Linked DNA regions of Arabidopsis thaliana. The protein of the gene in region 4 interacts with the protein of the main gene of each other region in a pairwise test. Each region holds a gene or a part of one and is shown on either strand. Other genes may lie near its edges. The genes, in order: TIP, MYB14, RMR1 and AT1G33760.

The links.
Region 1: the proteins of AT1G33760 (region 4) and TIP interact in a two-hybrid assay, tested with the Arabidopsis thaliana proteins (one large-scale study listed by BioGRID).
Region 2: the proteins of AT1G33760 (region 4) and MYB14 interact in a two-hybrid assay, tested with the Arabidopsis thaliana proteins (one large-scale study listed by BioGRID).
Region 3: the proteins of AT1G33760 (region 4) and RMR1 interact in a two-hybrid assay, tested with the Arabidopsis thaliana proteins (one large-scale study listed by BioGRID).

Annotation. Positions count from the first base shown.
Region 1 is NC_003076.8:8,414,402-8,422,742, reverse strand, and holds TIP (TCV-interacting protein), read left to right. Parts: upstream 1-3,666; 5' UTR 3,667-4,019; coding exon 4,020-4,197; intron 4,198-4,389; coding exon 4,390-4,670; intron 4,671-4,762; coding exon 4,763-5,020; intron 5,021-5,105; coding exon 5,106-5,564; intron 5,565-5,643; coding exon 5,644-5,823; 3' UTR 5,824-6,368; downstream 6,369-8,341. Other genes in the region: AT5G24600 (TRP-like ion channel protein (Protein of unknown function, DUF599)), read left to right, coding at 369-953.
Region 2 is NC_003071.7:13,283,992-13,291,454, reverse strand, and holds MYB14 (myb domain protein 14), read left to right. Parts: upstream 1-3,074; 5' UTR 3,075-3,279; coding exon 3,280-3,412; intron 3,413-3,512; coding exon 3,513-3,642; intron 3,643-4,162; coding exon 4,163-4,649; 3' UTR 4,650-4,774; downstream 4,775-7,463. Other genes in the region: SYCO ARATH (Cysteinyl-tRNA synthetase, class Ia family protein), read left to right, coding at 5,839-6,182, 6,284-6,347, 7,121-7,282, 7,366-7,463.
Region 3 is NC_003076.8:26,441,651-26,449,872, reverse strand, and holds RMR1 (receptor homology region transmembrane domain ring H2 motif protein 1), read right to left. Parts: upstream 4,788-8,222; 5' UTR 4,676-4,787; coding exon 4,546-4,675; intron 4,460-4,545; coding exon 4,223-4,459; intron 4,078-4,222; coding exon 3,688-4,077; intron 3,267-3,687; coding exon 3,169-3,266; coding exon of another isoform or gene 3,151-3,168; exon of another isoform or gene 3,073-3,150; coding exon 2,995-3,072; 3' UTR 2,440-2,994; downstream 1-2,439. Other genes in the region: AT5G66180 (S-adenosyl-L-methionine-dependent methyltransferases superfamily protein), read right to left, coding at 1-43, 139-324, 415-505, 589-733, 809-921; STR18 (sulfurtransferase 18), read right to left, coding at 1,287-1,385, 1,475-1,534, 1,627-1,697, 1,776-1,855, 1,939-2,045; AT5G66150 (Glycosyl hydrolase family 38 protein), read left to right, coding at 5,439-5,669, 5,766-5,849, 5,933-6,021, 6,096-6,270, 6,336-6,539, 6,607-6,678, 6,762-6,875, 6,968-7,068 and 6 more. UniProt on the Arabidopsis thaliana protein: Involved in the trafficking of vacuolar proteins. Functions probably as a sorting receptor for protein trafficking to the protein storage vacuole (PSV) by binding the C-terminal vacuolar sorting determinant (VSD) of vacuolar-sorted proteins.
Region 4 is NC_003070.9:12,234,765-12,241,462, reverse strand, and holds AT1G33760 (Integrase-type DNA-binding superfamily protein), read right to left. Parts: upstream 3,917-6,698; 5' UTR 3,520-3,916; coding exon 2,965-3,519; 3' UTR 2,753-2,964; downstream 1-2,752. Other genes in the region: AT1G33750 (Terpenoid cyclases/Protein prenyltransferases superfamily protein), read right to left, coding at 5,115-5,657, 5,739-5,877, 5,956-6,174, 6,583-6,698.

The DNA.
Region 1 (8,341 bases), on a different chromosome or scaffold from region 4:
ATAAATATGAGTATAATTCTAAGTATAATCATCATGCATGCACCTCATAAATTGATACTAATATTGAAAGTTGAAACAGTATCAAGTTGTTTTTCTTTCTTCTTTTGCTCAGATTTTTTCTTTTCTATGTGAACATAATTATGTTAAAGTTCTTTACGTTAATGCAAGATTTTGAACATTTCCTTACTAAATGAATCCGCAAGTGTGAAAGCTAACAACACTCAAAAGATGCTTTGCATTTTTGGGAAACTTTTTTTTGAAAAAAATGTTTATAATTACATTATTTCCTCCACCAATTTTTTTCACTTTTTGTTGGATTTGAGATTTCTTGTACTAACTTATGTTCCGTTAACAACTATTGTAAACAGGACTCATCCAAAAACGGCGTTTTAGCGGTTCAAACGCTAAGGAACAACATAATGGCATCAACTCTATTAGCATCAACCGCAATAATGTTATGTTCACTAATCGCGGTACTAATGACTAGCGCTACAGGAGAGCGATCAGTCTGGTTTGTGTTTGGAGACAAAAGCGACCGAGCCTTCTCGCTCAAGTTCTTCGCAATCCTCGTGTGTTTCCTAGTCGCGTTTCTCCTCAATGTCCAATCAATTCGTTATTACAGCCATGCAAGCATCCTTATCAATGTCCCCTTTAAACAGCTCATGGCTGTTTCTTCAGGTGGTCGTGGTAATGGTAGTCTTATGATAAACCAAGATTATGTGGCTGCAACGGTTAACCGTGGGAGTTACTTCTGGTCGTTAGGACTACGAGCGTTCTACTTCTCCTCGCCTTTATTCCTATGGATCTTTGGTCCCATCCCAATGTTCATAACTTGTTGCGTTCTTGTTTGTTCGTTGTACTTCCTTGATTTAACGTTTGACTCGATGAAATGTAGCGTTGGAGCCGCAGACGCGGAGGAGCCCGAGATTAGAAGCTTAGCTCAGAATGTTTAGTAGTTTTTTTTTAATTTGATAATGGTTAGGGGTTCAGATATATTGAAGAGAGTTTTGTTCAATGGAACATACAAATCTTGTAAGTTGTATTGATTCAGGTTCAATGGTAGTTGAACCGTGTCAAAGTGTCACTCTGTAACCAAGTGAAGAAATTTGTTGTCATTTAACCGTAAAATTGTCAATTTTACTGATGTCAAAGATATATATATTTTTTTGGTAATTTTGCATATGCATATGGTATATATGGATCATATATATTCCATGTTTATTTTCAACCCTTTACTTTAAAAGTTACGAAGAATTTAGAACAAATTACAAATATGGACTTGGATCAAAAATGTTCATAAATTCTACTTCTATAGCTTTTTCTTTCCCCGTTTATAATATATGGTATTCGGAGGTAACATTTTTCTTATTTTTTCTGTCAACCACATTAATTGTTTGAGATCTCTTTAACCCTTTTGTAGTTAGGACAAATGTTAAGAATCCATAATAGTAAAACTAAATATGTATTTATTTTTGGAGCTTTTATTTTTAATCTTTTTTTAAAACACTATATATATAGTGGGTGGTTTTCTATATTTTTTTAACTAACGTTGATATAGGATTTAACCCACGATATACCGTGGGACAATTTGTGTTTCGCACAATCTTGATTCGATATGTTTAATATTGGTAGTGTAACAAAATAATAAAATGAAAAGAGCAATTGGGTAGGGTCGGATCATCATGAGATATTTAGTAATTTAACAACTTGTAGTTTTGGTGACTTCTTAAATTTTGATCAGATAGAACATAGCCACTAAGTAGGATCATGAGGAAATACATAATTTTCTAAATAAAATAAAAATAAAAAGAGAGATTTCCACATATTCAAGTTTTAATATTTTTTCTTTGTTTTTCAAATAAATTAAAACTAAACTAAAATCCACATCTAATTACCATTCAAATTTTTCAAACAACTAACATTTACACCAAAAAAAAAAATTACAAACTAAAATTCGAAAGCCAAAAACTATTTTAAAAGCTACATACATTTATGATTTTAAACAACGGAAAATAAAATATTTCCAGAAACTGAACTTTGAGATAGAAAGTAAACGTCTTTAGTAACTAAGTGATTGGTTGGCATGTCACCGTAAATTATTCGCTGTAAAATTTTGACCGTCAGCGTGTAAAATGCAACCGTGTATTTTATTGTTATACGTGTAGATATTAGGGATATAAAGTCTTAGAAGTAAATTTATTAGTCGTATCTTAAAATATGATTAGTAAATATTTTATAAAATATTATAGTTAACCAAACTATATAATAAACAACAACACAAATTTTGTGATGCACATATAGGTTAAATGGAATCTATATAAACATGTAAAATAGTTTATATGTTAGTCGGATAATAACTACATATTAGTTGAAAAGAATATATACATATAAATTTTTTGTTCAAATGTTGTTCAAAATTTATACATAAGTATACATTAACAAACAAAACTATACATGGTATTTATACTATTAGTATATATCCATCTAGTGCCTAGTGTACATTATATAAGCAACACATAAAAAATGATCATGAGGAAATAAAATTAAAATAAAAGAGAGATTAAATTAAAAATATAACTTATAGAACTTATAACAACATATGGTTTTAGGTTGTAGAAATATAAGATTTACGGTCACAAGATTTTTTTTTTTTCTAAAACTAATTCACAACAATTTGGTCTTCACAAAAACAATTATGGTTGTAAAAGATTACATTCCAACTAATCAAACACTATAAGAGACTATCCTCAAACTAGAAACGCAGAGGTCTAAACCCAAAAACAAAACAAAAAGCAATGACTTAGATAAACTTTGTTGGATATGGGCTTCGCCCCATTTAACATTCGGAGGCCCAAACAAAGAGTCATTGAAAACCTCAGTTAAGAATGATGAAGACCAGCCCCCCTGAGAAAGCCGCAGCCCATTGCGAGATGAGGCCCATTTTCTGGAAAGGATCAGCCGCCATAGAAGTTTCATATCGCTCAGAAAATGGTACTGTGTACTTTCATTGAAGTACTATAAATATTGACAGAGGAATGCCAGAAAAGGACACCTGAAGTCGGACGAGAATAGTACAAGAACATTCTCATTCGGATTCAAAGACATAAGCTCGACAATTGACTTGTGTAGTTTTATTCTTGTTGTATCTCTTAAAACGAGGCTTGGCTGTAAACATATCTTGTAAACGGCCGAACGTTAAGTTTAGATAAATAAGATCTTCCTTTTCGCTCGCTACTTTCTTCTCTGTTTTTGAGGTTTAGTTTTGAGTACCAACGGACTTCGATATCAAACGTTTTAAAGTTTAAACCTATTTGATTTACATTATTTGGTTTAAATAAATTGATTCAGACTTCACACGACCAAGAAAAAAAAATGGTTGAATTGGGTTCTCATCTATTGGGCTTTAACAACAAACACTATTAGTAAGATGGGCTGGCCAGTTGTGTAAACTGTTTCATATTGGTAAATCAATATGATACCAATTAAGTTTATTTAATTCTTCTTTAACTTCCGTACAACTATCACGAAGCTTCCTTTATAGCATCAACGTGTCAATATATGATTCGCTAGGTGACATCTCTCGTTCAGACATCCTCACCTTTTGACTCATATAACCCCTATTTCCGTAACTATTTTACTGCAATACTTCAGGGGTAAAATAGGTATTTACATTCTGTTTTGCCTTTTACGCGTAACGAACGTGGTTTTGTGTTTTATGACTTTCTGGGAAACAGTGGTACGCCTATCCACGCGCCACTTTTTCATCTCTTTGTCTTTGATATCTCTCTTGTCTGACCAAATCGTGTCACATCTCCTTCTTCTCCACTTTACCAAATCGTGTCAAATTTTAGGGTTTTTTCTTTTCGTACTTCATCAAATTCTGGAATCTGGTTTTTTCTTAGTTTTCTTCTATATACCTTTGAATCGCATCTTTGATCCAAATTCATTTTAGATATCACCTTGAAGTCGAATTTGTGATTTTTTCTTTTCCTCTCGAATTCTCAAAGTCTCACGCAACTATGAAAGAAGACATGGAAGTACTATCGCTCGCTTCACTACCGGTTGGGTTCAGATTTAGTCCAACGGACGAAGAGTTAGTCCGGTACTATCTCCGGCTCAAGATCAACGGTCACGATAACGACGTTAGAGTAATTCGTGAGATCGATATCTGCAAATGGGAGCCTTGGGATTTGCCTGGTAATTCCTTTCTTCATCAAATCAATTCGTTGATTCATCTTTAGCTCTTTAGTCTCGGTTTAGCAATTCCCAGGCTTCAATTCCGGTTTATGCATGTTTGAATTTGGAACAATATGATCAATAACTTCTTAGCTTAGGTAGTGGACTTAGTGAATTTGAGTAAAGATTTATACTTTAGTATTTGTGGTGTAGATTTTTCTGTGGTGAAGACAACAGACTCAGAGTGGCTCTTCTTTTGTCCTTTGGACCGGAAATATCCGAGTGGAAGTCGAATGAATAGAGCTACTGTGGCTGGATACTGGAAGGCGACGGGAAAAGACCGTAAGATCAAATCAGGAAAGACTAAGATTATAGGTGTTAAGAGGACTCTAGTGTTTTATACAGGTCGTGCTCCTAAAGGGACACGAACTTGTTGGATTATGCATGAGTATCGTGCTACTGAGAAGGATCTTGATGGAACAAAGTCTGGCCAGGTAAAAACCAACTTGGCAAATGATGGCATTAACTTGTGTGTGTAGGTCTTTTGTGTTTCTGATTGTGTTTGTTTGATTGTTTTTGGTTGCAGAATCCGTTTGTTGTTTGTAAGTTGTTTAAGAAGCAAGATATTGTGAACGGAGCTGCTGAACCAGAAGAGTCAAAGTCATGTGAAGTTGAACCAGCGGTATCGTCTCCAACTGTTGTGGACGAGGTTGAAATGTCTGAGGTATCTCCTGTTTTCCCTAAAACAGAAGAGACTAATCCTTGTGACGTCGCAGAGTCTTCTCTTGTAATCCCCAGCGAATGTCGTAGTGGATACTCTGTCCCTGAGGTTACAACCACCGGGGTAAGGATGAACAAAATACATTCTTTTCATTACAGGAGGCGGTACAACCGCTTTGTAAACTTACAAACTTCATTTTACTCAACAGCTTGACGATATCGATTGGCTCTCGTTTATGGAGTTTGATTCCCCGAAGCTGTTCTCTCCGTTGCACTCTCAGGTGCAATCTGAGCTCGGTTCCTCTTTCAATGGCTTACAATCTGAGTCTAGTGAATTGTTCAAAAACCACAATGAGGATTACATTCAGACTCAGTACGGTACAAATGATGCGGATGAATATATGTCCAAGTTCTTGGATTCTTTTCTTGACATTCCCTATGAGCCAGAACAGATCCCATATGAGCCACAGAATCTTAGCTCATGCAACAAGATCAATGATGAATCTAAGAGAGGAATTAAGATTAGAGCTCGACGAGCACAAGCCCCGGGTTGTGCTGAGCAGTTTGTAATGCAGGGCGATGCCTCAAGAAGGCTGCGTCTTCAGGTTAACCTTAACAGCCACAAGTCAGAAACTGACAGTACACAACTTCAATTTATCAAGAAAGAGGTGAGAAGAAGTTTGTTTTCATACCTTCTCATGTATTACAATTTATGATCCTTATATTTATGCGATAAAATGTATATAGGTTAAGGACACAACAACGGAAACTATGACGAAAGGATGTGGAAATTTCACAAGATCAAAGAGCAGGACTAGTTTCATATTCAAGAAAATTGCAGCCATGGGATGTTCATACAGAGGGCTTTTCAGAGTCGGTGTGGTAGCGGTTGTGTGTGTGATGTCGGTCTGCAGTCTAGTCGCATAAATCCGCTGAATGTGATGTTTGTTCCGATCAATTCATATAGTAAGAATAAAGAAAGTGGTTTTTACGGGTGGAGAGAGCGCGGATTTGTGTGTATAACAGGGGTTTTGGCCTGGTTCTGCATCTGTTGTTATTGTTGTTGTTTTTGTCGGCTTAAGCTTAACCATGGTCGGTTTAGGAGTGTAGTAGACTTGTAGTTAACATGTACGACGACTCATAATATTCAGATGGTAATGTTTGGAAATTTTTTTATTCCTGACCACATGTGTCTTGAGATTGCGTTTTTGACATTTTTAGTAGCCTTGTACAATCAGAAACAAACTACGAGTTCGAATGGTAGCACCGTAATGAAAACGGTGTCAAACATGTTAGTACGAACCGACCGGGTAGAGATATTTATTAGAGGTGTGTTTATTTCGTATATCATTAAACATGTTTAGTATGATAGGACGGTTTGATTGAGGGTATGGACTGTTAAACATGTCATTTGGGTATTTTATGGCATTAAGTATGCCCAGTAATATATTACAAAATTTTTGGACAAAAGAATGCATATTTGAATAGTTCAAATAATATGATCACCTCTCTTTTCTCTCCTTCATATCTTTTAGAGAGAGGAACTGTTGAATTCTGCCGACCGGATTATTCTGGTAAACTGCCGTCCCAAGTTTTGGGCTTTTGCCCGACATCTTTTTGGCTTTGTTAGCAAAGATGGCCGGTCCTCTTCTGGCAAATCCGGCTTCTACAAGAATAATTGTATCCTTACTACTTAATTGTATGGACCAAGAATAAAATTTCAAAATTTAGTTGTTTTCTTGATATCTGTAAAAAAAATTAAACAACACTTACAATAAGACATAGGAAGCAGTTTGTATCAATATTACTGTCGTGTTGCTTTGGAATAAAACCCAAAATACGTAAGTACCAAAACAATTATTAGACTTTTTAAATGTGTTAGCTGATATAAGTAGTATATATCAATGTTGTATCATACTTTGAATAAAACTCAAAATTATGTGTGAGTAAGAAAAGAAAATACAATTCTTTCCAATATATAAAAACATCGTAAATGCATAAAATATGTGCATTCGAATCTTAACGCCATTGCAGTTGGACTCATGTCTCCACATGCGATGCACCGAACACCAACTAACTTTATCTCAACTATTTTTAGAATTCACGTATCATGTTCTTTAATCAATTTAATATTTCGATTATAAATTTATAATGACCAAAGAAGGTGATGCACACTTTTAAAGCGTAAATATACAATAGTGGATATGAATGACTCGATGCTTGATCATTAACATGGCACATTACATAAAACAAAAGTCTATAAATTTCTTTTAAGTTTTATTAAAAACGGATGACAAGAAAAGAGAGTCTATAAACTTATTTTAGCAGAGAAACTAATTCGGTTGTGGCATAGAGTTATTTTTTTATATGGTTTAGTCAATATGGCTTTTTGTATTTTTGACTTTTTGGATATACTTTTGAATCAGATTAAAGTCGCATATTGCCGGTTGGTATAAAAGGAACTTCATGTTAATTCCAGAACGATCTGAAAAATCTTCCATAAATCAATTTTATTTAACAAATGCAAAAACCATTAGTACGTAAAATTAACCTATAAAAAACCAGAGGTTATTTATTGTCTTGATTTTTGATCTGCGATAACATCTGCTGAGTTTTGAGTTATACAAACCACTCAAGTCTCAACATTGAGATTTTTTCAGGTCCATTTGGATAAAACAATAGTTGAAACCCATAAAGATAGTGCGCGTCAAAAGTAAATTATACATTGAGACTCAAACTGTGAAAACGATCGGATACAAATTACATGTCAATTATTATTACTTAAAGTTCATTTTATAGCAGGTATACCAAAAAGTTAAGTCCAAATTCGCAGTTTTAGAGGAATTTTTTACTACAAGTAAAGTGATAATATCATCAGTTTTACCAAACGATGGAGACCAATTTTAGTTTGTAGCATAATATAGAAAGTATAAACTAATTTAGAGATGGACACAAGGTAAAATACAAGTGATTCATTTTTCAGCTGTTGTGTATGAAAAATTGTTTTATATGTTACTTTTATTCGTTCGAAACGGATATTCAACATTTTACATTAAAAAAAATTTCGTTGCAGGTTATTATGAAAAAAATACATTTCTATTGTACCGTTTTAATATTTTTATAACAAACACTAAAAATATCATTTACCTCTGTAACAAAAAAAAAATCATTTGCCTGAAAAATTCTTCAATTTCATTACCTAATCCACTCCAAACAATTACATAGTAAAAATGAGATTTTTGTTATTTACGAATACTTTCATTCTTATAAGCAATACAGTGGATATACTAAATTTAAAATTTTGTAACTCTTTAAGACTTATTAAAAATTATTGCCAAACTCACCAAGAAATATGGAAATAAATGTACTTTTTTGTTAAATCATATTTGGATAAAAGATGGACTCATAGATACGCACAAAAATGTATACATTCAGCATATTGTGT
Region 2 (7,463 bases), on a different chromosome or scaffold from region 4:
CCGAGTTTCGAGTAATTTTGCTATTGTAATTTTTTATTGTTTCAAGTATAAACACGAATTTGTAGGCGTAAGAAGTCTTTATCCAGATCATGAATCCACAATCTAGTACTTTGAAGACTTAGATGGATTAGATTAGAGTGAGATTGTTAGGTGAAACAAAAGTTTGAAGGTACGGTTCTTGTCCTCGTTTGTACTTTTGTTTTGCCATTGTAAGTTTACATATTTTATCATATATATCAATCAAAATGGAATCTGATTAATGCTTTTTATGGATATATATATATATATATATTTATTTAAAGTTAAAATAGTTCTCTTGGTCAAATCTTGTGTACGGGCTCTATTTTTCCTTAGACCTGGACCCTTCCTTAGTCTTCATTTTGGGATATTTTGATCAGTGAAAATGTCCCAAATATATCACTTTTGTTGCATGTTGTTACATATAATATTTGATAAATGCAATTATCAGAACTACCTTATACGAGGGTTAGCCAATGCTACTGCCTACTGGACACATAACTAGTAAGATTCTGATAGAGCATGAGAGGAGGTAAAAGATTTTGTTGGTTAAGTTGTGTTTCAGGTTTGGTTAGACTTAGACCAAACTTAATTTCAAATTATCATTATGCATGTTGTTAATAAATAAAAAAAACTACAGAAAATAAAAATGTCATTAATGTATTAAAATTAACATTTCAACCTTTCATGATTATTTAGCAATTTGTTAAGTGATGAAAATGTTTACTTTGTTATTCTTATACAGATTTCAAAATTTAGTTGAGACATTTTATTTTAGGGATAGCTAGTTGGATCTGATTGAAGAAGATAAGTAACACCTTTTTAAATATTAACTAGTGAAATGTTTAAGGCTTCTTTACTTTTGACATGCATGTATAATCAATAATGCAAATCAGCCGACCCTTGGAAAATTACAAAAAGAAGCGACAAAGTTAGTAGTTGAATGGACCCACAAATATCTAGATTTCGTTAGGTCACGATCCATTTGAATTTATCAATTATCAAACAAAACACTTGCATTAAAAACATGGGAACTCCACAATTATATTGGAGTAGTGTTGTAAGAGAAGATAACCCTCGTTGTATTAGAAAATGAAACCCCAAAAAGAAAACGGAAAGAGAAAAAAAAAATTGTGAAAAAGGGCAAGATCTTGGTAATGATGGAATTAGATATCGACGATCTTCGTTTTGTTTTAGTCTATTCTTTTTAAAACGTTGTAATCTTGGTCTAAATACGTTTAATTTGAAACAGTATACAAAAGTTGCTTTTGACAGAGACAAACGAATAGTTTAACTCAAAAGTAAATGTTGTAATGGTGAGTGAAGGTGTGCAATTGAAAGAAGCCAAGAACCATATCACTAAATATCAATTGACGACAATTTCATACATTTTACGATCTCATGGTTGTAATTATCTTACGTAATGACATATACCGTAAGAAAGACATTTCTGTTTTTTTTTTACGGTATGACACTATGAATAATTGACGTGTTTCAAAATAATCTGGTTGTCTATTTTATTTTAATTACTAACTCACCGGTAATTTAATAAATTTAAATTTGTATTTACAAAGTAAAATTATAAATACTCTTTCGAAATTAAAGATTCATATGACCAAAACAATTCAGATGTAGTATCAAGTCATATTTAACATTAAAAGAAAGCGGGAAAACAATGACCAAAAAGTGGAGTCATCAAATCATATTCTAGCTAATAAATCATTTCATAAAAATTTTTTGTTAACAATATGACCTCTGATTCTCTGAATCATATTAGAAAAGAGGAACCCCTTTACGTACGTACCGTACCTACTTCGATGTCTATGATTTTCCCTCTTGACACCACAATTGTTTTGGCTCTACATACCTATTTTTTAATTAATCGTAACGGTATTATATACATTAAGAAAGAAAATAGTGTAAGTGTTTAATATGCGCATAGAAAAATATGAAACTTTTAATGTTTCTTATTGACTTATAGGTCACCCAACAAGCTTGATTGAGATTAAAAGTTTGATTATTTTTGGCCCATGATTTGATCGGAATTGAGCACTATGAGCCTCTTTCTTTGACATTTTTATGCATATATAATTTGAACCTTTCTTTCCTCTCATAATGTTTTATATTATTTTATTTCCTAATTTCTTATTATTTATATTGGAGCATTTTTTGCTTAATATCTTTTTTATATAACTCCGTAATCCGAGGCTCCGAGCGGGAGTCCGGGTAAACTAGAATGGAGCAAGCTTGTGAAATACAAACACACCATATTAAACATTTAGACTACATATCAAAACCAGTCGTCCAAAAAAAAAAAAAAAAAAAAAAGACTACATATCAAAACCAACTTATCCAATAAAGTTGTTCCAAAAAGAATATGAAACATATATGATAGATATATTTAATAGTAATTAAGATTTGTCATAACCAATCAAGTAAACGGATCATGGCTTGTATACCAGTGGTTTTCAATAATAGCTTGTATAACAGTGGTTTTCAATAATAGATTTAGATATCGGGTCATTAACTTTTGAAGTGGGTACACAGGTCGACCATATGTCGATCTTTCATATGAATCATGTGACTCATATGCTTAGTGAAACTAGCGTCCCTAGAACATGATAATTCAGGGCAATAATTGCATAAGTAGAGTGATGTTTGCGTTTTGCTTCTCATCACACACTCGTTTCCCTGGTTGCGTGTTGCATCTCAAAAATATTGCAAATATCCCGAAATAGAAAGTTTTGGACCCTATCTGGTGATATATAAAGAGAATCCTTTTGGCCTGAGTCGAACTGATTAACCGTTAAATATTTTACTACTGAATGGCACCTGAATTATAGGCAATCTTTACACAACAGGAGTTACAGGACATCGAGGCTCCAGTGGTATTCGTCGACCTCATCAAAACAGATTAAAATACATTAGAAAAAAGTTTTTTTTTTAATGAATCTAAAAAAAAAGTTCAAAGGAAAAAGGTTAAAAACTTTGGACTGTGTAGATCAAAATTAGTATGAGAAAATTTCAACTTGGAGTTGTCCCACGGTTGCATTGTGATTATATAATAATAATATGTGTGTATATATAATAACACACTAAACGTCGACATCGCATACTTCCTTCAAGCATTTGGCTTCTTTAGCTCTCATAAACTTCATACCCATTCAACACTTGTCCTTCTAATCATTTTACTCAATTGAAGACCATTTTGTTTTTCTTTTTCTGAGTGTTTTTTTTCTTGAGGGGGCAACGGAAAAAAGAATGGGAAGAGCACCATGTTGTGAGAAAATGGGGGTGAAGAGAGGACCATGGACTCCTGAAGAAGATCAAATCTTGATCAATTATATTCATCTTTATGGTCATTCTAATTGGCGAGCTCTCCCAAAACACGCAGGTGAGTTTCCTTTTTACATTTTACTTTGTATATTGATTATCTATTAATGATTCTTGAAAATGAAGCAATTTTGGTTGGTGTTTTTGTGCAATTTGTTTAGGTTTACTTAGATGTGGGAAAAGTTGCAGACTTCGTTGGATCAATTATCTTAGACCAGACATTAAACGTGGCAATTTCACTCCTCAAGAAGAACAAACTATTATCAATCTGCATGAAAGCTTAGGCAACAGGTTTGTCTTCTTTTTTCCCCTAAAGAGTGATTGAGAAATCAAACAGTTTTAGGGTCGACGTTTCTTTTTTTTTTTGTAATGTCAACTTCCTTTTTCCTTTTTCCACTTTGCATTACACTGACTCTCTGAGAAGTGAGTATTACCCAGTCTAAGTTAATAAATGATTATTTATGTAACAATTTGCAAAATATTTTAACACCATGGGGGTGGTAAGGAGATTCCTGTCCGTGATTTCCTCTGTCTCAAACCAAACCAAAGACTTCATTAATTTGTTTTCAAATATACTTTAAAAAAAAAACAGAAACAAGATCTTCTATATTACTATTAAAAAAGGATATGCACTTTGATCAATGCAAAACATATGGCATGTATAAGCTTTTCTTTTGTTGTTTTCTTCTGTTTTTGAGCAACTAAAAAGCAATATAAAGTAAGAAATTGATGAAATCCATACAATACTATTATACGTGGGGCGCTTTTTTAAAAAGTGTTTTGTTTTTTGTTTGTTTCTTAATTAATTTAGATGGTCTGCGATTGCTGCAAAATTGCCGGGACGAACCGACAATGAAATAAAAAATGTTTGGCACACTCATTTGAAGAAAAGACTCAGCAAAAATCTAAACAATGGCGGAGACACCAAAGACGTTAACGGAATTAACGAGACCACAAATGAAGACAAAGGATCTGTGATAGTCGACACAGCCTCTTTACAACAATTTTCTAATAGTATTACAACATTTGATATTTCAAATGATAACAAGGACGATATTATGTCGTACGAGGATATTTCTGCCTTGATAGATGATAGTTTTTGGTCGGACGTCATATCGGTAGATAATTCGAATAAGAATGAGAAGAAGATAGAGGATTGGGAAGGATTGATCGATAGAAATAGTAAAAAATGTAGCTATAGTAATTCTAAGTTGTATAATGATGACATGGAGTTTTGGTTTGATGTTTTCACTAGTAATCGTAGAATTGAGGAATTTTCCGACATACCCGAGTTTTAATTTTGATTTTGATTTTGTGTTGTTTTTGTCGTTAAGACTTTGAAAGTCTTTTTGTAATCCAAATGAATAAATTCCTTTTCTTTTTCTTCCTCTCTGTCTATGTTTGTAGACTTTTGAGATTGCATGTAAATATGAATATCTTACATGCATTTTGATAATAAACATCATTTAAGATAACATCAAGACATGTAGCAATGGTTAGTTTGAACATGTAACATCACTTTACCATGTTACCACCCAGATTCAAACATGTATATAATATGAAAGAAATAAAACTTTTAAGAGGGCCATTTCGGTTAGTTTGGTTTCTAAAGAAATAAATGTTAACTGAAGTAAAAAGAAATTAGAAATGGGTCGACTTGAATTGTGGTTTTCAATCTAAAATGAACTCCTAAGTGTGTAAAGACTAATAACTTCATCCTGGTTTATAATCAGGACAAAAGGAACCATTGTTAAACGTTTTGAACATATAACAATGGTTCCTTTTGTCCTAATTATAAACCCAAGAACTTATTAGAGAACATACTATCGCCGAGCCAACCTCACTCCTTAACTTTGTTTTAGCTGGTTGATCTACACTAGGGTTTTGCCCTAAACTTTTTGTGATAATTTTTTTTGTTCTAGTTGATCAATGTTTTGCAAAACTTCAACATATAAGGTCCAAGGTCCTGTAGTAGACAACTAGATATTATTTACAAAATATTAAGGACTTTTAAACTATATTTTGTAGACCTTTAATTAAAACCTATGGATGGTTCCTACGAAAACATCAATAACACCATTCCGGTCGTACTTAAAAATTTAAGAAAATCAAAATGACAAAAACGTGAGTAGATTAAACGATTATAGTTAACGATTACGCATACGTAATATCACATCGAAATATGGTTCTTTAAATTTTAATTTTAATTCCAATATCATCATCACTAAAACATTCTTTTTTCCTTCAATATTCCATTAGTGGCTAATAGACAATCCCATATATTATTTGAAAAACCTAGACATTTTAAAAAATTTCGTCAACAACCAAGATGGTGCTCCTCTAACAAGTCTTGATTAAACCGAACCGGAAAATAAAACCGGTTTACACAAACCGTAATTAGTTCAGAGGTTTTAGCTAATCACTCGCCGCTTTTTCCTATCCGAGATTTCATCATCTTCTTCGGAAGGAGCTTATCGTTCCACACCAATGGCTTCTTCTGTCCTTAATCTCTTCAAATCATGTAGACCCTTCACTCCAATACGCTTCTCTTCTCTTCCCAAGTCTCAATTCAGAATCCAATTTCCCCTCAGACCCGGAAAAGAAACTCAACTACGTCGCTGTTTCACGACTCTGTCATCATTAACGGACGGTGGAGCACCAATTTCCGGTGGGAAGGAGCTGTGGCTGCACAACACGATGAGCCGGAAGAAGGAGCTGTTTAAGCCTAAGGTCGAAGGTAAAGTTGGAATGTACGTTTGCGGTGTCACTGCTTACGATCTCAGTCACATTGGACACGCACGAGTCTACGTCACTTTCGATGTACTCTTGAGGTATCGACTTGGAGAAATAAGCTTTAAAACTTCTTGGGTTTATGGAAAGTTATGATTTTTTTATGATTTTGTTCTTTTGAATTTGATTGGGAATTAGGCAGGTACCTTAAGCATCTAGGATATGAAGTGTCTTACGTTCGAAATTTCACGGATGTGGATGACAAGGTGAGCTAACTCTGCTTCTTGGTGGTTAGCTCAGAGATTCAGGGGTCTTATACAACTTAAGCTCTGTTTAGAAGTTTAGAGACAGCTTCTCGAGTTCGTTCAGGAAAGTTTTTTAGTGAGAACCTCTTAAGATTGAGTTTTGTGGTACCGTTAGGTTAATAGGATGAGTAGCCAGTGTCTGTTATGGCATTCCTGGACCGCGTTTAAGTTATTTATTTTCTTGGCGGCTACATATTGGGCAGTAGAGAAGTTGAAGCTGATTGATCTTATTTCTAGTGTCTCCAATACTGTTATTTCATCTCATTTACTTGTGAGAGGCATGTAAAAGGATGGATCATAGTGCCATCAAAGTTGCAAGATTTGAACGTTTAGACTGCTAAAGTTATTATATTGGTGGTTGAGGCTAGTGAAAATGTTGTACTATGAAATGCCAAAATGGAGAATAGTCAGTATTTTCTCTTTGTTAGGGAGAAGTTCACTTAGTTTTATCCTTTATGTATGTGTCTGCTCTTTTACATCTGCCTACGTTTGTGTCACCAACTTTGATTAACCTTAACACAGACTAATTAGCTAGAAGAATAGAACTAATTAGTAATGTCCTTTACTAGATTTCCTCCGTATTGTGCTACAAGATTTCACAAATGTTTTCTTTATTTCAGCCTCTCTCTGACTATATTTTCTAGGGGAACTTTCACTTTTTCTTATTGAAGTTGTATATGGCTAGATTCTTTAGCTACATATGCAACTGACTCATGAAATTTCAAATTTTGTAGATTATTGCCAGAGCGAAAGAATTAGAGGAAGATCCAATCAGTTTGAGCAGACGTTTCTGTGAGGAATTTAATCGAGATATGGAACAGCTTCAATGTTTAGATCCGTCTGTCCAACCACGAGTTTCAGATCATATACCTCAAATCATCGACCTGATCAAGCAGGTTTGACCACATTTACTTCACTTTGCTCCTCATGTTGCTAAAAATCTAAGATATATTCTCATATGCTATGTTTTCCAATTCAGATTCTTGATAATGGCTATGCCTACAAAGTTGATGGAGACATTTACTTCTCAGTCGACAAATTTCCAACATATGGAAAATTGTCTGGGCGAAAATTAGA
Region 3 (8,222 bases), on a different chromosome or scaffold from region 4:
CACTGCTTGAATGTGTCTTCATGATCGTCCACACATGACTCACCTGAATATTAGCATATCAAATGAGCTCATCAGCAAAGTTAGGAAAAGCTTAAAGGAACATATTGTTTTGACGATGTTGAAGTGTTGCTGCTCTACATGGTAGGTTTCTGGTTGGTGGGACTGAGAAAGTGGTTCCATCAGCAAGAAAAAGCCGGCTCCTTTCAGCAAGCCCATACTTTAGAAGCATAGTTCTGCAGGCAGCAAGACGATGCCTTGCAACATCGACACCGGTGGCAGTACCCTTCTGACCCAGTAGGTCAAGCATCATACATAGTTTAGCACCTGAGAGTATTATTATTCCCTCTAAAGCAGTTACAAGGACGAATTGACACACTAAGGAAACCAAATCAGCTGATCAATGTAAAAAAATACCAGGAGCAGCACAAAGATCCAAGACATGGTCTCCTGGGGAGATACCAAGAGCTGAGACAGCGGCACCGGAAGCTGCATCGATTCCGTACATCTGAAACCCGAAGAAAGAACAAGTGAGGTTAAGAAAAACCGAATGAGCGAGAGGAGAGTTGGTATTTGATTGCTCTCTCTCACCATGCCTTGCTGATAGGCCTTGGTTCTGGCTATATGAACATCTGGAGGGATGGAGTAAAATCCTGGTAACCAATTCACCTTCTCCAGTTTACAGTTAATTTCGGATTCAATCTCTTCGAAAGCATCCTCGAATCCAGGTTTCAACCTTCAAACGGACCTCTCCGGTTTCAATGCCAAATTCAGAAATTTTGAGAAAAGCAAAGGAGGGGTCTCAAGTTACCTTACATAACGTGGAATTGAATCTCCGTGAGTATAGATTGAAGGATCAAGGCCATTCGCCTCTAGAAAGCTAAGGAAACTCTCCGGTAACTGTAGCTTGGACGTTTCTTCCATGAGAAACCCGAGAGAGAGAGAGAGAGAAGTGTTCGGTCGGAAAATTAATTAAGTCGGAGAATCGCCGGGCGAGAACAGAGAAGATAAGGGCTTAGGCTGAAGCCCAAAGCCTTTTTGTATGTATACTCAAAAAGCCCAAACGTTTTGACCGATGAAACAAACAAAGGCTTGTTACTTAGTTTTTACACTTTTACTTGTTCATCTTTTTTTTTTTGGTTTTCACTTATAGAGAAACACAGCTTTTATTGAATTTGGTACACGAAAGTTTTGATTACAAGAAACTGGAATTTTAAATTGAAAATGATTACTACATCACACAGGCAGTTATATTATTTGATTAAGAAAAGAAGAGAATCTTAAGATTATTAATTAGCAGATGGCTCCTCCTCCTCCGTGTTGATGGGAAAGCTGTGATCCACCCAAGCCAAGTAGCCACCTCCCACGTTTCTCACTTTCTTGTAACCCTATTTTTTTATGTATATATGAATTGATTCTTTGAGATTAAACACACAAGTAGGAGTAAATTATGTATGTAAACTAGGGACTATTATACACTTACTGCAGCAACAAGTTCAGTTGTGGCTTTTAAGGATCTGGCTCCACTCTGACAACCCTGTTTGTATCAATATCATTTTCCAGATTTTATCATCGTTTTCACCGGCAGATTTTAATTCTTGTGGGTGTGATGAGGAAGAAAAGAGTTACCACAAGGATATCATCAGCTGGGTTTAGAAGAGAAGATACTTGCTCCAAGAACTCTTGATTCTTCACTCTACCTAAGAGTAGAGATCACAAGGCTTTAACTCATGTACTGGTTGATATCTCTAATTAAAGGTGATTGATATTTGATTTACCTTGAGGTGTGTTGAGCATGTAGGGAATGTTGACGATCTTAGCTGCCTCACAATGGCCTCTCCTAAACTCGTCCTGAGTCCTGCCATGTGCAAGGATTTTTCATTAACAACCGCAGCAGCTGGTACATGCATGGTGATATGATAGAATAGATCAGAAGCTCACCTAACGTCAAGATATTGATGCCCAGACTGGAGGAGAGTCTTGGCTTGGCTCACATCTACACTAACAACTTCTTCTGCCTTTGTGCTGGAGGAGATTGATTGAGACATCTTCTTCTCTACCTCTTCTTGTCAAACAAAAAGATGAAGAAGCTTCAGGAAGAGAGCAGAGAGTAATAAATAGGACCAAACACAATAATATTGTTTTAATATTGTTCTATCTTCCACTTATACACATGCATGGCCAATATAAAAATAATGGTATATGATTCAACAATTAGAAATTTGTTTCCAATTCCATACGCAAGTAAATGAAATCTACAATAAAGAATATAAGATAATAGTCTTCTTAGACAGCTATGGTAAGATAGGCCCCAAAGCCTGCATAGAAAACGTGTTCACTGATTAGAGATGAGAAGGAAATGTTGGCTGAATTTAGTAATCAAAAGAAGTTGAGTATGTAATAGAAAGTTTTGGTGATGGAATTGCGCAACTAACAAACCCATGAACGAGTCATCGTATTGGATGAGTCGTTAGGTAGAGATGAGGATGACGTGTTCTTTTCTTATTATTACTACAGACAAGACAAAATCAAAGCCACGTTCAATGGATTCCATTCCCCCATGTAAGGGAATCAGATTCAATATTCATATTATACAAACTTTAGGCAAAGAAATTATCAACAAGATAACATTAGAGATTTGCCTGGATCGGAGAGAGAAAATCTGATTAGACCAACATTTGTTTTCTATCAATTTGTTTGCATATCTGTACTATCACACACATTTTTTCAATCTATAACACACACACACACACAATGATCAAATGTACACATGACTCAGAGCGTATGTAAATGTACACATGCAAAGAAAAAGAGGCAAAGCAACTCATATCTTTTTGATCTGGGAATCCAGCAAAGCACGACCAGTATGGCAGATCCGGTCCCTTTACCTAAACTTATCCCACCATGATTAACCATTCAATATAAGATGCAAACCTGGACCTGATCCAGGTAACCGAGCACTGATATGAGTGTTCAGCTGCTAAGCCGATAATAACTCTAACGGCTTTGACTGGATTGGGCAAAGGCAAATCTACTCGTACTTGTATCTGTTCTCGGACTCTCTCGTTTATGTACCTGCAACAAAACAACACAAACAGTGTATTGAACCCAACGCAAAAACAACAAAATAACTACTGAAAGGATTTATACATTTCAGTCTAACAGGATCACCTCAGAAGACATAGTCTCGGTTCTTATGTCATGCTTGCACACAGGGCAAGATGTACCCCATTTTGTCAACCAAGAGTCGATGCAATTCAAGTGAAAAGCTGCATAAGAGCTTCAAATCAACCAACTGCTATGAATTACCCCCACTTACATAAACTAAAAAAGGTCAAATCTTTAATTTATTCTTCTGATGTACATATTCGACCCATCATATCATTCGAAGCAATGAGTAATACCAAAAAGTTCGCATTCGGTGCTTACCTATCAAACTGGAATTGACAGAAACGGAATATATTGTACCTTCAACCCTAAAACAGAGGAATTTATGCTAGAAAGAAATCTATTTTATAAAGTTAGAATCTAAGAGAAACCTATCAAAGTCTTCCTAGAATAGTAAGCACATGTTTCAATCCTGTGAAGGGAAGATCTGTGTCTCATAAATATACATTTCCAAGACCTCAATGAACACATTAAGGGTGGCAAGTTGCCAGTTTATTTCCACAGAAGAATAGGAGTAAGTACCATGTTGGCAGGGGAGAAGTCTGAGGCTTTCTCCAAATCTGTAATCCTCGAGACATATAGCACATGTTTCCCCGGCCTTGTGGTGAGCAGAATCAGTGAAGGTGAAGCAGGGGAGTGTGTGGACGAGCTTTGCATCTAACCTGATGGTCCTGGTGTGCCTCCCTCGCCATTGGGTCCAGTGTCTGGGTGCAAAGAAGGCAATCAACAGGAAAGTGACTATAAGAAGGAGAGAGAAGAAGGAGATGGCCAACACAGTCCAAGCGCTCCCTCTGTCTGGCGGATTAAGGCAGCATTCACCATCTCGGCCTCTCGCGTACTTTCTCAAAATCTCACCGGCGACATTTGAAACGAAGACTGCATCAACTGTAATGTCCTGAGGGTTCACCTTCACTGTGCAAAACAGATGTTGGTCAATCTCCAAACTTATGGGGGCGTTGACTAAATTAAATAACTCCAATGAAATTCAGCTCAACCCTAGCTCATCAGGAGAAGAAAAGATGGAATTTTAAACTTGGGTGGGAGGCAAAAGGCTTACTGACGATGAGATCTTCGTTGTCAATGTTGTCATAGACAATCACAGCTTGAAAACCTGAGTTCTGGGCATTGAGCAGCTTATCCTCAAAAGAACATTCGCCTCTGATTATCAAAGCGAACTTAGTAGTTCTGTGTTGCGTCCAGTTGGATGCGGCGGCGTGGAGAAGCGGTGAGCAACCGTCGAGAGGATCTGCGACGTATAGAGCTCCACAGATTCCGTTTTTGGTCACGGAGCCGTCTGAGAATCAAAATCAACTTCTTTTTAACCAGATTGTTCGAGAAATTGTTTCGGATAAGGAAAAAGGAAGAGGGGGAGAAATTGACCAAATTTGGCTGGGAGATCGGCAAAAGAGGCGGAGATGGAATTGAGGACAACAGTGGCGAGTGAGACTCGTAACAGAGAGGAGAGAAAAGGAGCTGCAACTAGTAGACAGCTTGAGACGACGAGTCTCATCTCTCTCTCTTTTCGCTTTCTCGGTCGATCGATGGCTTTTCAGTTTCAGGCTGTCGCCGAAATGCATTGGTTTCTTCACCAGAGAGAACCTTCTACTCGTCTCAGAGGCTTTAAAGATTAGTTCGTTAATTTATATTTTATATACGGAATAAAAACGACGACGTACAAACAAAGCCTCCTTTGCAAGCAAACAACCCCCAAGTCAAATGAAGAGAACAAAACAGTTGCAATGATGTAAATGACTTGTTGTTGAGATTTTTATACTAAAATGTTACTAGCTCAAAGATTTGCTTCTATTCTCTGTAAAGACGTGGTTTAATTATCTCTATATTGATTGATTTGTGTATTATCAAAGAAAGGGAGATTTTTTCCCAAAACTATTTGTTAAATAAAATTAAAGAAAAGGTAAATGACTATTGTCAAAACTCAAAACAGATCAACTTCAATTTTAATGTTGACATCAAAGTAGAAGAAAAAAAGATTTAATAAAGTACTATTTTAGGGTCAAGATTTTAATTAAATTTGTAGGAAAATAAGATTATTGTAGAACCTAATTAATTATTACATATGGTGAAATGACAATCTAGTCACAGTAAAACAATAGAGAGACTCTAACAAAGACCGACGGATCTGAGCAAAAACAAACGATAAGGATTTGGTCTTTTGTTATGACCCTTGTTTTGCTCTCTCTCCATTTTCTTGTTATAAGTTTCCTCCACACCCTGTAAGAAAGAAAAACATCTGAAAACTCTGCCATCGGAAAATGGAGAAACCGGGTATGTCTTTATTGAAAGGATCACTTTGTGTTATTGTTTTTCTTCTTCTGTTGTCGTTGGTTGAGAGCGTCAAAGGCGGGGGATACGTGAAGTATGGAACCGAAGCTAAAGTGGTTCCGGGGAAACTAAATGTTCATCTTGTTCCGCATTCGCATGACGATGTCGGCTGGTTGAAAACTGTTGATCAGTACTACGTAGGATCTAACAACAGAATCCAGGTATGTTATCTACAGATGAATGATGAATCATATATATGTATGTATGTAGAGACGAGTCTAACGTACTATATATCCCAAATGAATTGTGAGTTTCAGAACGCTTGCGTGAGGAACGTCCTAGACTCGGTGGTGGATTCTCTACTTCGTGATCCCAATAGAAAGTTTGTGTTTGCGGAAATGGTAAAACATTAATAATGGTTTTGTTCATAAAACCATAATATATGTTTTCTTCTCTTATGTGAACATCAATGTACATGAAAAAGGCCTTCTTTACGCGTTGGTGGGAAGAACAAAGCCCCGAGAGACAAGAGCAAGTGAGGAGACTAGTGAAATCCGGGCAACTAGAGTTTGTGTAAGTAGGTCACGACCTTAATTTTATCATTTTGGCTACCTAGCGTTGATACAATTCACACAATCAATGTGCAGAAATGGAGGATGGGCTATGAATGATGAAGCAACGTGCCATTACATAGATATGATAGACCAAACCACAAAGGGGCATCGGTTTATAAAGCAACAGTTCAACACAACTCCACGTGCTGCTTGGCAAATCGATCCCTTTGGTCATTCCTCTGTTCAAGCTTACCTCCTTGGAGCAGAGGTCCCTTCTAATCTATTTATTTCTTTATTTCCTTATGAGTGTGTTTTAATTTGGTGGGGGTGCAGTTAGGGTTGGATTCTGTGCATTTCGCGAGAATCGATTACCAAGACAGAGAAAAGCGAAAGGCCGAGAAATCACTTGAAGTCATCTGGAGAGGATCAAAAACACTGGATTCTTCTTCTCAGATATTCACCAATATCTTCTTTGTTCATTACGGCCCTCCCACTGGCTTTCACTATGAAGTCACCGACGATTACGTACCCCTCCAGGTTCGCTTCTTCTTTCTCCCGTTTGGTTTTTGGTTTAGGGGAATTCGGTTCACTCGTCATTTTGCAGGACAACCCTCGTTTCGATGGCTATAACATTAAGGAGGCGGTTAATGATTTCGTCAATGCTTCTCTTGTTTATGTAAGTCTTGAGTAGTATTTTTTTTTTTTTCAAGTGTGTGTGTAATCTTGGATTAATTCTGAAAGTAGTCAATGTGGACATAGGCTAATGTGAGTCGAGGGAACCATGTGATGTGGACAATGGGCGATGATTTTCAGTACCAGTTCGCCGAGTCTTGGTTCAGACAGATGGACAGACTTATCCATTATGTTAACAAGGTTTTCATATCTCTTGCTTGCTGTGATTGCTCAATATCAATCTCGCTGTCTTTGGAGACTAGATTCTCATCACCAATAATTCCATTCAACAGGATGGCCGTGTGAACGCCTTGTACTCCACACCATCTCTCTATGTTGATGCCAAGAATGTTGCCAATGTTACTTGGCCTCTCAAGACTCATGACTTTTTCCCGTGAGTGCCTTTAGTACTGTCACCAAATAAATTTACATATTCCTTTTGTTCAACAACTTGATTTTCTCAATAGTCAATAATTTCCCCCTACTCTCTGCAGATATGCGGATCGGGCATACGCTTACTGGACTGGCTACTTCACCAGCCGTCCTGCTCTTAAACGATATGTTCGGGCTCTTAGCGGATACTACATGGTATCAAACTGCATCTTACGGAGTCCGATTTCCCATTTTCTTAGTGAAATTCAAAATGAATTTACATGGCCTTGCATTTGTCTGTTTTTTTTCCAAAACAGGCTGCAAGGCAACTTGAATTTCTGGTGGGCAAGAACTCTGGAGGTCCAAACACTTACAGTCTTGGGGATGCTTTAGGGATAGCGCAGCACCATGATGCTGTCACTGGAACTGCCAAGCAGCATGTAACAAATGATTACATGAAACGCCTTGCTCTTGGTGCTTCTGAGGTAAGATACTATATATGAAAACTCTTTTCTTTTTTGTCTTTTTTCTTATATCAGTAATCATCTAATTATTCCGTAGGCAGAAGCTGTGGTGAATTCTGCGCTGGCATGCCTAATGAACAAAGCACCAAAAGGTGGCTGCACAAAGCCTGCAATAGCATTCAGCCAGGTTAAATCTCCAAGAAACTCATTTTGGATTTCATTTTTTTTACAGAAATGTGATTGAAGAATCCCTTTCATGGTGATGACTAGTGTGGGAGTTATTTCTTTCCTCTATTTAGAGTAAACGATTATTGTGTGTCTCTATATAGTAATCACCTGGTTTATATATTCTTTCTTGGAATCAAATCAGCAGTGCTCGTTGATGAATATCAGCTATTGCCCATCGACAGAAGAAACCCTTCCAGGCCAGAAGAGCTTGGTAATTCCATCACATCTCTCATCAATCATTATGATATAGCTCAGATTCTCCAACTATCTCAGTGTTTGATCTTCAGATTCTGGTGGCGTATAACTCCCTTGGATGGAACCGTACAGAAATCATCAGGATTCCGGTTATATTTCATGCCTCTGTTTACTTGCTCCTTTGAGATCAAATTCTTTAATGTATTACTAAAGAGTTAGGGTATGTAACAGGTCAATGATGCAGGTCTAAGTGTGGAAGATTCATCTGGAAACACCCTTGATGCTCAAT
Region 4 (6,698 bases):
TACAGATATTTTACCATTTTACCAGATCATTTCTAAACCGGGATCCAGATTACTCAAAAAGTTTATAGAAAACTCAAATTTGTTTCCATTTCGAAAAATTAAAATCTCTTCCATTAAATTACATATGATTGGTCCACCAAATTATATCTTCTCCTTAAAATGTTGGGATATATTTTTTTAAAATGAAATATAATACAATTATATAAATACAGTAATAATATAAACTAAAATGATATGTTATAATTTGATTGGAAAATTCATAAATTTTTAAAATTTAATTTATATGTTATATGTTAACAAAACAATTGTATTAATATATTATTTATTTCTTTGGTAAGTTATATCAATATATTATTACAACTCTTACTTTTATCTTCCAAAACTCATTTATCCATACATAATTAGTTATGATAGAACTTCAAGATAATATCAAATAACTCATCCAACAAAGCATTCCCACTTAATTAAAAAGGAAAAAAAAGAGGATACCAGCAATAAATCGGTTTTGGTGTCATAATCAAATGATTCAAGTTTCTATTTATAAAGAAAACAACTAGATTTTAACCCGCGGTACACCGCGGAAACAATTTATTTTCTAAAGTTAGTATACATAAAGTTTGCAAATTGTATCTATCTATAAAATATTTTTATTTTATAGTTTACAATTGTTATTAAGTAACGTCCTGTCAAACCCGTCCCACCAATCCGTCCCGTAAAAAAACCATTTATTTTGTAGTAATTAAATGATATTAAATATTTTGGAAGTTTTATTTTAGTAACTAATCGTGTAGTTAATGTGGAGAGATTTAGGGAAGATTGTTAAATGTCAAATATTTAATTTGAAGATTTTTTTTCTAATTATCAAAAACAAACATTAAAATCCAGTGGTACGTATTGTAAATAAGTTCCAATTATAGGATTTATTTCACAAAATAGCTGCAAAAATATATATGTAGATATGATGAATTTTGGTATAAAATAATTAAGTTTGAACTCATAACGGTGAGATAAATATCTAAAATATCTCATCAACCAATCAGAGACCAACGCCCTTCTCCAATTCACAAATTTATTGTATTTTTTTTTATTGTCAAATTTTTTACTTAAAAGCTTACACATGGCATGGAGAGACCTATTTTCTGCATTACAACATGTGGTAAATTATCAAATTATTTTTTAATTTGCCAGCAAAATTTCAATAGGCTCATTGCATTGCATCAATTGTTATTTATCAACATCCTCGTTGTATATAAACTAAGTCTCCAGGGTATGACAGAGATACTGATACCAGTTCATAAATTTGAGTGTCGTGATTATGGTATCGTAGGATTCAAAATCTCATAAGAACTGCCATAATGAGAGACAAAAAAAACTATTGAATTAAAGAAAGAAATCAACTTCCACCTCTCCGTATTCATCTTTTCCTTAATCGTATTTTATCCGTAATTTTTAGTTCAGATTTTGTATATATTCAAAAATCTACCTCTCCGTATATATTCAGAAATGAGTCTCTCAAGCTTTAATTCATGTTAAATTCACTACAAACAAACATGACGTTACACTTACACATTTCAACCTATCATTGTTTTCGATGGTCATAAACCTCTGACAGCGAAACAAAGACTAATTATCAAATTGCTATGGCCCATTAATTTTCAGGGCCGGCCCTGTCTGAAAGTTGTAAGGCATTGTAAAAAATGAAGTTGACCACGATCTCAAATGATCTACGAGAACTTGTACAGTAATTCTTCAAACAATGTTTCATTAATAACCTACATATAGTGGATTATAGAATAGAATCACACTTATATCACCATATCCATCACATTTTGATACTAAGAATTAATCATCATTGTACCCACAAAAAAATGAAAAAAGATTGATCATCATCGTATCAATTAATATAAGGAAGTTCTTTAAAGTATTTATTTAGCCGGTTAACAAAAAATCATATCAAAACTTTTGAAGATAATATTAAGGATAAGAAAGTGTTTGCTGAAGCTGAAATGTCAATGTATAGTAGGTCCACAGGAGATTCTGACGGCATATTGGAATCGTCTCTTCTGTCCCCACACGGAGTGTACCATACCAACGCTATTGCGATTATTCTAATTTATATTTAATAAAAGAATTTTCTAGTCATCATCACTTACTGGAGTCTCGAAATTTGCTTTTTTAAACGTGTCTAAAGAGTCAAATTCATGCTTTTACATTATGATCTAATTAAAACTTTAATTTATAATTTCACGCAATTAGGCCTAACAGAAAACTGAACGTATGGGACAATTAAAACATTTCATACTAATATAATATTGACTGCAACAGTTGTTATTGATACTGATTATAGTATATCTTTAGGTAATCAAAGCTTTTCAACGGACTCATGCTCACTATAATATGGAATAAACCTGTACTTTTGAGGCGGCCATAGTACGAATTGGTACGTGCACGTCAGCTCGTGTGTATATATTATGGGTTATATGTGTCTACATAATGGACTTTCATCAAATAATTTTGTTTTTAATAAACCATAGGAGTTTCAGGTTTTTGGTCTATAATCTTACCTATTTTTCGGAGTTAGTCTTATTCCAATTTAACGAATACCACAACGAAAACCGAAGACGAAGCACAAGGTAACCACCCTTTTTTCTAAGTTTTTATAAGATAACATTTTTTTTTCTTGGATTGAGTTTTTTCCTTGGTTTATATTTATTTCTCGTATAAACCATATGATACTATCTGACTGACAAGGAACCAAAACATTACATATATATTGAAAATTTGAATTAATCATATTGGTATTTATGACATCATCATTGTTAAGAGATTACAAATTGAACCCAAGAAAAACAGTAAGGGTCGAAAATTTATTATACTTTACTGAATATAATCGAAAAACCTTGGTTGATGATATGACATTATTAAAAAAAAAATCAAATGGTTAAGCAATTAAGCGAACGTATATCAATTATTAGAATTCCATATGGACTGAAATTGCTGCATTTCAAAAAACTCATCCCTATCGTGCTGACCAAAAAATTGTCCGTATAATTCTTCGTAGTCAGCAACTTCCAAATCCTGCATCCACCCCATCCTCGGCGAGTCTAATGGAGACTCATTAATCGCTTGAATCTGATCCGGAGACAATCCTACTCGAGAAAGTCCTTGACCAGACTCGAGAGCTGGTTCACTCAACCTACCTGGTTTAAACATAAGTGCTGCATCTTGTGCAGCCGCTTGAATGTGCTCCGAACTAGAGCTTTCCGGCCGAGGAAAACTGTCGACGAGTTCCGGAAAGTTGAGATTGGTCCCACGTCCTCGGAGGTGAAGAGCCGCAGCATCGTAGGCCGCTGCAGCCATCTCGGCCGTCTCGTAGCTTCCAAGCCAAATCCTTGTTTTCTTACCGGGTTCTCGGATCTCCGATACCCATTTGCCCCATTTCCTCCGACGAATGCCTCTGTAGGACAACTGGTTAACGTTGAAGCGGTAATCTCGTTGGCCAACGTAAGTGTTTTCCATAATTAATACAAGGTTATTTTAGTAGCACTATATTGTGTGTGTGTGTGTTTGTGAGTGTATATAGAACTGTGCGAATTAGTTTAGAAGTTTTGAGTTATAGAGTCAGTGGTTAAGTGAAATTGTATATATAGAGAAATAAAGAAGACAATAAATGAGGGAATAGAATTTGTGGATGGCTTGTTTGGTTTCAGGTGAAGTGAGCTTCCTACGTAGTTACTTGTGAAGTGGAAATATGCTGTCATGCATGCATGGGTCTCTATTACTTACATGGATATTGTACATTAGCAAAGCTGTCTTTAAGCGTGTACAAATAGTGTGTTGTGTGTATTTGAAAGAAAACGCTGATTGAATATTATTTTTTTGATTGAAGACAAGTTTGATATTTATATGATTTGGGTTCTAAATTTTTTTAGAAATATTTTTTTACACATCAAATATGTTTTCAGTAAAAACTTTGTACATGCCTTCCAAGAAAATTGACATGGCCTTGATAAATATATTTCATATTTGGTATATTCTGGGCCTTAGTTAGATTATAGATATTTAACTTGATCAAAAAGTTCAAAATATTTAAACTTTTCAACTAGGAAATAGATTTCATAGTTCATACTGAGATAAATTAGTGTTTCATATAAAAGATCAATTATTTTAAGTCAAAGTAGTATATTGTGTTTTGTTGTTGTAAGACCAAATGAAAAGAAAAGCAATTAGTCCTTTATATCATGTGTTGGTTAGAACTTTAGGTTCTCGTACAAAAGTCCATATATGCCATATCTCAAGAGTCTTGACAGCAAATATGATAGTAACATTATGTAACTGCCCATAGAGTCATAGACAATTAAGTTGACCAAAATAATGAATTGTTCATAACGAAGAATTGGGGAAAGAAACCCATCTAAATTAACCAAAATTTGATTTTATGAAATTCTAAAACCCGACCAGCAGAAGATCGATGCTCTGTCTCCAAATAATTTCTTGATGTGTAGTAAAACCTCATGAGCCAAATTCCAACCCTAAATAGTTAAATGGCTGCATAATGGTCACCACCGCCACTAAGGCACTAACAACCACACCGTATCGAATTGTGGAAATCCGTACGGTCCATCCGGTGGTCAAAAAAATACTTTCAGTCTTAATCTCACCGCCCATTATATATTGTTGCTTATCTACAAGATTTGGATCCTACATAAGAACTCAACAAGTATAACAAAGTTTTGCTTTCCAGTCTATTTTTTGAACTTATACGTTCCTTGGTTCAAGAACTCATGTGTGTAATTTAATATTATTTGCAAAGAAACATAATTAAGAATTGAATAGTTTAACGTATATAAACATGAATTAAGAATTGAATAGTATAACGTATATAAACATGAATTATGATATTATTTCATTCTTTTGGTCAACTTTCCTTGTCGTTGTGGGTAGTGAAAGTTATAAAAAAAACTTCTATGCAAAATAAATTAAAATAGTAAAAACTAATTGAAACCCCAGGAATTAAAATTTAATGGAAAAATATGTGCATAGAGCAAATTAACAATCATCAATAATAATGGAAAGAGAAATGTAGATGAATTTTTCGGCAAGGAGCCAAGTCTTCAAAGCGGAAGAGGATGGAAGAACAAAGATGTGATGAGATCTTTGAGCTTGCCATTGGGATTGGTGAAATTATCACCCTCCTCGTAATACAGATTGACCAATCGTACAATGTTGAAGCACCGGACCAGAATCGGACGTGACACACTTTTTATCGTCAAGAACTCTTCCATCATTATCTTGTAATTATCTCTAATCATCTTCTTAATTTCTCGAACCGCCAATTCCTTGGTAACATTATGTTGCTTAACGTAACAGTTCACCCCATTAACCACTTCTCCTCTCCTCATCTCCTCCTCGAAGCCGGCTATGTCGTTTGTAAGACGAAATATAACACTTAAAGCTCGTAACATTTTGGGTTTGGATTTGAACCACGCGTTCGTTTGATTCTCCTCACAATCTTCCATCGATATAAAGCTGTACATTGCAAAGCATCTAATCCCTGACGAGTCAAGCCCAAGCTCAATATAGTCATCAAAGGTTGGAACGTGACCTGCTCGTGCCCATTTTGATATTTCAGCGTACGCTCTCCCCATGATCTTAATCTGCAAAATTCTCAATATTAAACACAAACATTAATTTATATGGACATTGATTAAAACTAAACCCTAAAATTGTTGGTGTACCTCTTCTACGGTGTCTTGCACACTCGAGGATCTTCCTCGCGGCTTCATTTCTCTTTCAATATCTTCCATTGTTTCAACTATACTTTGGATGACGATTCTTAAACAGCTCGGTAGTTTGTCAATGGCACCAGGATCCCACCTAAGGATTTTCCCATGCATGTGCTCGTTAAAAAATGACGTCATTATAAGACCACATGATTCATACTTAGTAAACTACCTTTCCAAAGAATCAATAAGACTTCTAACTTCAGAGAAAGTTCCATATGCATCACAGGTGTCATCCATAACTACTATCACTTGGGAAACTTTAGTGGCTATAATTCTCCCAAGTGAATAGTGTGGCTCGAGATACACCGCCATGACACCGATAAAGGTCTCTAGAAGCCTGTCTCTGATGTAAGGTAGCTTATATGGAAGATCAATGTCTTTCCACCATCTTCAACCACAAAAACATTAAATAGAAAATATTATAAGAATCTTACATCTAAGATTATATTAAAATATAATATAAAAGACACATACCAATCAACATATTACCTACAGGTTTTGAATTGAAAGCTCACTAAAAATTATATGATAACAGATGTTATTCCAATTGACCCGACATGAGTATGTTGCCTGATAAAAAAAAAAAAATCTAAAAGAGGGATTTAATTCGAGATGGGCAATCCTACAGGTCAAGCCTAAAGTAAGATGAGATCTAAATTAATGTATAAGATATATAAATCTATCTACTTGTTATCTCTCTGTTTTTAGTCGGAATCTCATGAGTTTTGGTAAAGTACTAAAGGATGTACATATAAGAAATTCACCGGGAAATATGAATAAAAGTAGGCCAACATACTTGGTGAGAGTTTTTAGCTCTCTAACGTAATGTAGCTGGCAAAAGTTGAAGTTGAGCTTCGCAAACTTGAGCAATGTCTCATCATGACCTTCTTTTTGATAGAAATGAATATATTC